2 linked regions of the Callithrix jacchus genome follow. The protein of the gene in region 1 interacts with the protein of each later gene in a biochemical or structural test. Links are inferred from orthologs where the notes say so. Each region holds a gene or a part of one and is shown in the gene's direction. Other genes may lie near its edges. The genes, in order: SELP and CD24.

Region 1 (3,810 bases):
AAACATAGATCAATAATACAAAATAGACGGCATAGTGTAACACAATTAGTTAATGCTCTGCACCTCCAAGTATAGGTTAGACAATATTTATGTGGGTCAGGAAGTTGTCATGTGACTTCCTATTATTCTTGTGTATGACATACCACTTTTTAAAAAGATATTGTTTTATAATAATAATGACAGCCATGTTAATGTGTTTAGCTTTCTTCCATACACATTAAAACGTATCTTCAAATAAAAATATTGGTGGTGCAAAGTACTCAACAAATATTTGTTGAACGGATGGAGAAATGAACGCTGTCACCAGCCTTGCTACAGTGTTCATCCAGCGTAGAACTTAGGAGCAGGGCAATGAGAAGCAAGAAGGAAGCAGAGGGCTTGAACTGCCCGTCCAATGAAAATTGGCACAGTTGTACTTCAGCCAAATGATTATTAACGAGAATTATTTTTGGCCACGTTGGTGGCATATGGATGCTAAAAGAATGTATTCTCTTCTTGTTTCAGGCCAGCTGCCAAAAAGCCATCTTGTACCAGAGATCCCTGAGAGTGGTCTTTGGAATTGCGCAGCTCCTTTGCTTCAGTGCCCTGATCTCTGGTAAACTTAATGCTAAGTTTTCACTTAGCCCTAAGGAATTAGGGTACAGCCCAGAGCTATGTGCAAGGACTTTAAGGACTGTAGCCAGCTGGTTTGAGGCATGGGAAAACTGTCCAAGTCCAGATTATTGGAAGAAAAATGTACCTAACACTGTAATATTGATAGAAAGTGCATAGGAAAGAACTTAAAATGATACATCTGGGACCAATTTATCCATTAGGCACAGTAAATACGACCCACAAAATTTTTAGGGACCCACAAACATGTCTGAATTTCTTTTATAATTATTTTCTTTGAAGTCAAAAAAATACTTTAATATATAGTGATACATTCATCTTCTTACCAGTGCAGTTGCAAAATAGAATTTTGAATATGTTAGCATGGAGGAAAAAGCCTACATAGGCAAAGTTGCCTAAAGTCTATGAATCATAATGCAGCCCTGGCTGTATCAGAATAAAGTCTTTAAGGCAAAACAATGCCCTGGAAATCTCAGCAAGGGACGTACAAGTGTGACTAATCCTCATGCAGGCAGCGGAGGAGAGAGTTGAGTAGAAACAAGCCTTTAAATAAACAGGAAAGAAGCCCATTTCCAGGCCTGATTGCTTGCTTTGTACACCTCTTCATGTGGGAACTGGCCCTCCTGCCCCGGGTGAACTCCCACAGGCTATGATAGCAGTACGTAGTACCTTTATACTTTTGAAGGACACATTCTTTATTTCATTTGGTATCGTAAACACTTGTAGAGAAGGGCTGTTCTGAGCCCTCGCTTAATAAGTGAGTATGCAGACACGGAGAAAGCAGAGGTTAATGAAAGAGAAATAGCCAAGAGAAATGGAATGAGTGTAAGATTGCAGATCAGCGTATCTGATTTCCCACCTTGGCTCTGCCATAAACCTGCTGTGTTTCACTCATTCCACAAGCATTAATTGAAGGTCTATTAAGTGCTAAACTCTAGGCTCTGTGCTAAAGATCCAAAGCTAAAAAGAAAACACCATCAGAGATTTACAACCTGGCAGAAGTAGACTGTATCAAAGAAACACATTACCATACATGATAATGAGGGCAATGCAGACAGGGAAGAGGTGCTGCCTGGAGGAAGGAACACAGGGTCCACCTGGGAAAGCCATGGAGAATAGGGGGAGTAAAGTCTACCAGACATAAGAGGAGAGGACAGCCAGGACAGTGGGAAGGGCATGTGCAAATTCAAGGACAGAGGAATTCTGTTTTGAAATATGGTGGGCGATGAGGCTGAACCAACTGTTAGGCTCCAGATCATAAAGCATATTATTTTCCATGTGAAGAGGTAGAGCCTGCCCTTAAGACATTTTTATGTCATTTAATCTGAGCTTGGGCAAATGACTTAAAATGTCTCCTTCTTTTATTTAAAAAACAAAAAGAGGAGTGAATTAGATGACTTCCAGGGTACCTCCCAACTCTCATGTCTTATGATTCCAAATCTTTAACATCAAGGATACTTACAAGATGATATTTTCCTGCGACTTCATGTACACTTTTAACTGAAAGGTGGAAACCACCCCTTTTCCTTCAAACAGCTACATTAGATATAAACTAGTCGAGTTTTGGTATTCATCTTCTGGTCAGAAACTCACCTGACTATGCAGAAGCATGCTTGGGATCACCTCCTTTTGGTAAAGGTTGCTAACCCGGCACTCCCTCTCCTTTACTCTAGAACTAACAAACCAGAAAGAAGTGGCAGCGTGGACCTATCATTACAGCACAAAAGCATACTCATGGAATATTTCCCGTAAATATTGCCAGAATCGCTACACAGACTTAGTGGCCATTCAGAATAAAAATGAAATTGCTTACCTCAATGAGGTCCTACCGTATTACAGCTCCTATTACTGGATTGGGATCCGAAAGAGCAATAAGACATGGACCTGGGTGGGAACCAAAAAGGCTCTCACTGACGAGGCTGAGAACTGGGCTGTTAATGAGCCTAACAACAAAAGGAACAACGAGGACTGCGTGGAGATCTACATCAAGAGTCCGTCAGCCCCTGGCAAGTGGAATGATGAGCATTGCTTGAAGAAAAAGCGCGCATTATGTTATACGGGTAGGGCCTTCTCTACTTTGAAACATTTCTGTTTAAAAATGAAAAACAGAACCTTCTCTGGTTACTTTAGCCAACCTTCTCTGGTTGGCCAATGTAACCACCGAGTCAACACAAAGGTACAAATGCAGGACCTGAAATCAAGGGGTAAACTGTTAGTCAATCAGCATTACTGAGCACCTTGAAGAATGTAAGATCAGAATTAGAGAAAACTGGCTACTTAAAACTAGGGGGAAATTTTAATATCATCCAGCTCACCTGTCTCATCTTATAACTGATGAAAAGGACACGCACAAGGTTTCAGTTTCTCAAGGCCGTGGAGGAGGACAGAAGCAAAGTGAGGACCAGAAACCTGTCTCCCAAATTTTAGGTCTAGAGCTTTGTTCACCCCTGTGCTTTGTATAACAGAGAGTATAAATTGGAAGAAAATTTAGCCCGGCCCCTCGGTGACACAGCTGCGACTAATACCTACTGAATGTCAATATGCTCTAGGCATTGTGTTAGTTCATGTGCCACTTGTTCATTTAATATTAGTCACCTTCAGTCCTCATGACAACTCCAGCAATCAAGTTTTTCTATTACTCTTATTTTGCTGATGAGGGAAAGGCTCAGAGCTATTAAGTCATCTGCCCAGGGTTCTAAGCTAGTTGATGGTGGAGCCAGTTTCAAATTCATGTTGATTCCAAAGTTTGTTTTTTAGACATACAAACTACCACATTCTTTGCTCTACATTTTTATAGACAATTTGAGATTATAACTAAGGATTGTAAATGCTTTAGTTTCTCTTCAACAACAATATATCTTTAGATCCACTGAACTTTGGTGGGAGAGTGGTGGTAGGGGCTGGGCAGGAAATGGGAAGAAGTAATTGAAGGTGAAATACTTTGAGTGTATTTTAATTCTCAACTTTCCCAGTTCCAGAGTAAGTAGACATTCACGAAAGCTTGGTCTTCCTCTAGTCATGACCCTAGTGTCAGAGCTGATTCCTTCTTTCTGATGTTGCTTCCCTGTCTGGAGGGGCCTGTCCTGTCCTTCACAGCACATGAACACTGTGCCTAAGGATGGTATGGACTGCCCTGAGCAGGAAGCTTCTAAGTACTCTGAAGCTTCTTTGGTAAATCATCTGCCATACATTTTCTGA
Region 2 (4,357 bases), on another chromosome or scaffold:
AGGATTGTCTTGCAATTAAAAACTGAACCAAAAATCCTGAGAGAGTGTTCTGCAAAAGTGAAATTTAAACAAATTTACAACCATTCTAGGTTTAGTCATTGCTGTTTGCTTTAAAGACTGAAAAACACCTGGGCTAAACCTTCAATAAAAAGATTAAGCCTTGCAATTAAAATTTAAACTCAAAATACTCCACCAGTAAAATTCCTTCAGCTTTTGCCGTATGCTTTAAAGTTTTCAAAACAGGATGGATAGGACAAAAGTATTCCACCAAAATCTAAAGAGTAATGACGAATCTCCTCTTTGTGCCAGTTCATTAAATTGCCACGTGGCAACTACGGATAAGTAAACGGCTTTATCCCGAACGGCTCTGCTCTTTAAACGAATGACTGGCAGCAGAGACCGAAAAAGTGTGTCCCCAGGAATTCGGAAGGGAAGGTGAAGTGTAGCGGGTCCGCCATGAAGGGAGGTTCCCGCCCCCTGAGTAGGACAGGGCGGGGAAGAGGAGTAGGAGCCGCGCGGGGAGGGCGGTGGGGCCTTCAGGGCCGGAGAGAGGGGGGTCCCTTCAGGGTGGGCGGTTTCCTCCTCTCCCGCCGCAGGCAGGAGCGCGGGGGACCCAAACCCCACAGTTTGCAGCGTCAGGCAGCGGGTCTCCAGCTCCTGGGAGGATGAGGACCCGGGACGCCCACTTGAGCTCACAGCGCCTGGCGGACACGAGGCGCTCACAAAACAAAGCAGGGGCTTCGGGGAGGGCGCGGCTGCTGGGCCGAGCGCGCAGATCGCCCAGGACCCGGGCGCCGCCTGCGAGCCCCGCGACCCTCCCGGAAGGGCTCGCGCTAGGCGGCGCCCGGGTCCCGTCGGCCAGGGTGAGCGTCCGGCCCGCGTCCCAGCCACGACCGCCGCGTTCCCCTTTCCTCTGCGGCGGGCAGAGAGATAACCCCGCCCGAGGGGCCCCGGCGCCCGCCCCCCAACGCGGCCGCACTGGAATTCGCGGCCCCTCTCGGGTCCCGGGGCGCATTTTGCAGTCTGGGTGGCAGCGCACTTGCTCCGGGACCAGCGGCTGCCCCGCCGCGGCGGAGGCGCGGACTTTTCTTTTGGGGCGTAAGATGGCAGGTCCCGGGAAACAAAGGAAACTTGGGCCCGGCCCCCGGCGCGGCGTGTGTGGCTCGCGTGTGCGCCCCTGGTGCTGTGTGGGAGTCGCTGGCGCCTGTGCCAGGCTGCCTGCAGCCCGCAGCCGGCGGGGGAAACCAGCCGGGTACCAGCAGCCGGCTGCTCCCGCCCACCTGCAGCGGTGGCCGTCCGGGGGGCTCCCGGTCCGCGAGGGCCCCTGCGGAGGTGGCGGCTGCGGGGGAGGGGGCGCTGGGGAGCCTGGAGCGGGGCGGGTAAGGCGGGGAGGCGGCGGGCGGCGGCGCAGGGGAGCCGGGGTGGGCGGGCGGCGCCACGTCACGGCTATTGTGGCTGTCCTGGTATATAAGGTCCCGTCGGCTCGCCGCGCTCCCCACCTTGCCTGCGCCCGCCGGGAGCCAGCGGTTCTCCAAGCACCCAACATCCAGCGAGACGCGCCGCGCACCGACGGAGGGGACATGGGCAGAGCAATGGTGGCCAGGCTCGGGCTGGGGCTGCTGCTGCTGGCACTGCTCCTACCCACGCAGGTGAGGCCCTGGCGCCCGGCGGGGCTCGAGGGCTGTGTCCAGGGTGGGGGCGGGGGTATGGACCCGGTCCCTGGGGACCGTCCTGCGCCCCTACCTCGGGCCACGGACAGGGAGCGGGAGAGAATCTTGGTTAGCTGACCGGGGAGAGGGCCATGTGGACCCCACTTTCCATTCCCTTGCATGCTATCCCCCCTCCCCTCCCACGGCCCTGGGAACAATGCAGCTCCGCGCGCGGGCTGGGAGGACCCTGCCCCACCCAGGCTCCACGCTGTCCCTTCCCAGGCAGCCAGGTGCCTACTGCCCACTTTCACCCAGGGGCCCGAGGTGCCTGCAGGGTAGAGCGCCTTGAGAGCTCAGGCTCCGGTGAGACGTCGTCGCGGGTCCCCTGAGCACCGGCTTTCCCCTAGGAGTGTCTTCGCGCTCCCAGTGCTCTACACAAAGAGAGGCGACAGTCCGCTTCGGGAAGCGCGGCTCACGCCCATCCTCCACCCTCGGAGCTGGCTTGGGGATCCCGGGGAAGCTCTGGTTATCCGGTCCTATCATAAGCCCCAGTCCCGGGAGGTTTGGGGCTGAAGTCGAGGCGGGGACCCTCTCCTGACGTTGCGCTCTCTGCGGTACAACCTTTCACGTCCAACGCTTGTCATCTTAGGAGCCCCAGGTTATTTTAGCCCAGTTTGGCTAGTTCTGGGGAGGCAGCATGGTGGGACGATTCTGTCCCGAATCCCCGCCAGGCTTTGTCTGGGTCGTCGCTTCCAGCGCTGTCTCCCCAGACCCTCTATCCGGGGAACCTCGCCCCGGGTGCGGGTACCGGGGGCCGCGCAGCGCTGCCTCGAGGGTGGACGCGGGCGAGAGAGACCGGGGACTGGGAGACCCCGGTGGGGGCGGGGCCGGGGGCGGGGGCGAAGAAAGTACGTTTCTTTGGGGCAGTTCGGGTTTGGAGCATGGCATTGACCGCTCTCCAGCGCCTTCGGTTGGGGTAAATCGAGGACTGTCCCTGGGGCTTCTCCCCCAAAAGTTGGGCGCGCTGGGTCCGCCGTCCCCAGGCATCCAAAGTCTGGGCTTACCTGGGAGTGCAGCCTGAGAGTGTGGAGCGCTCTTCCTTACCGCGGGCCGAGTTAACGTACCCTATTGTCTTCCTCCCAGTCCGCTGCGCTCCCGAGCCTTGCTCAATTCTTTGGTGGGGGAGGGGCGCGGCCGGGAGAAACCGGCTCCCTCCACTCCCCTCCCCATCTCCTCTCGGACCAGATTTTTTTTCCTCCAACATTTTAAGTGAGAAGTTTTAATAACGCGAATAAATCTGGCTTGGAAGAGAAAATTTTGTTTAGTGTCGATTTAATAAACAAAAATTATTTGTTGTTGGTGTAGAGGATCTTTAGATTATCGGATCAATACACTGGGTTTTAAAAAGAAAACATCACCTGCTGCACTAAAACTCATTGTGTGAATAAAGAACAGGTTACTTTCAGGGATTCCCAAATCAGGTCTCCAATACAGGCACCCTGTCTTAAGTAAATACCACATCCATGCTTTCCTTTATTGGGAGTGCTGTTTCCTGATGGGACACACTCAATCTTGCACACAGTAGGTGCCCAATAAATAAATTTGACTTGATCAAGATTTTTTGTTGTTGTCACTAATCTATTTTGGATAGGATTTGTATATTTCTTTAGTCAATATTTGTTTAATGACCTTATGGGTTTTACAACAAAAGGAGCTGGTGCTGATGTAGGAGGGCTTTATCTTTGGATTAATAGGCAGCCAAATGTACATGGGGCCCAGACTCTTGCCTGGTGCCACGTCCTCCCTCCCGCCTGTAATCAGAAGCCCTTGTAAACCCTCCCTTGCAGTGAGGGCTGAAAACTCCGATCTGCCTTTGTTCCATGACAAAGGAGAGATTATCACGTGCCCTACTGGACTGTGCATTTCGTGGCTTGAAAAATCAGTGGTGAATGATGCCACTCAGACGCTGGGACACTGGGGGAACCTTGATTCTTGGCCACAGCACTGAGCTTAGTGACCAGTGAGGCTGCTGTTTGTGAAACTTAACACCATACCCTCTCGTCCTCTTTTGTGAAATCGTCCCGACTTCATGGTGTTTTCCTGAAGTCATTCTGCCTTAAAGGAAAAATTCATTTTCAATTTAGCACAAATACTGTGGCCATTTTTTAGAAGAGTTATTATTTCAGATTTTAAGGGAGTAGATAAGAGTCCAATTCCCCCTTAAGGAAAAGGCAAAGTTGCCAAGGCTGTATTAAATGGATATGGGTAAGTTACCTAGCAAATCCAGGATAGACAGTGACCCAGTTAATTCTAGTTCCGTAAATCTCCGTTACAGTATTTAAAATCCGTACTTTTTTGTACAACTTTAAAATCTCTCCTTTTCTGGGAAAATAGACATTATTGCAATGCCATTAAGTCGGTATAATCTCAGAAACTGAATTAGTTAACTTGGTCCTTTTTTCCTTTGCAAAGAAATAAAAACAGGAGTTAAAGTTATTGAATAACTTTTTTTTGTTCTTGTTGCCACTGGGCATTTGAGGCATCCTAGCTTGTTTTGAAACTAGGTGAATGACCTAGGTGGGCTGAGCAAGAATTCAGAATTTAATGATGTGGGTAAGAGACTAATGGTAAGAGAACAGTCTAAGAATGTATCACCTACTTTAATTTTATATTAGAGCATGTGGAGGTAGCTGTGATGTGGAAATTTA

What was found.
Region 2: the proteins of SELP (region 1) and CD24 form a complex in vitro, tested with the Homo sapiens proteins (2 studies listed by BioGRID and IntAct). The link is inferred for Callithrix jacchus from reciprocal best matches to the Homo sapiens genes SELP and CD24.

What each region holds. Positions count from the first base shown.
Region 1 is NC_133519.1:32,863,087-32,866,896, forward strand, and holds part of SELP (P-selectin), read left to right. Parts: intron 1-504; coding exon 505-595; intron 596-2,285; coding exon 2,286-2,672; intron 2,673-3,810. UniProt on the Homo sapiens protein: Ca(2+)-dependent receptor for myeloid cells that binds to carbohydrates on neutrophils and monocytes. Mediates the interaction of activated endothelial cells or platelets with leukocytes. The ligand recognized is sialyl-Lewis X.
Region 2 is NC_133505.1:113,102,345-113,106,701, reverse strand, and holds the start of CD24 (signal transducer CD24), read left to right. Parts: upstream 1-1,497; 5' UTR 1,498-1,580; coding exon 1,581-1,649; intron 1,650-2,713; exon of another isoform or gene 2,714-2,795; intron 2,796-4,357.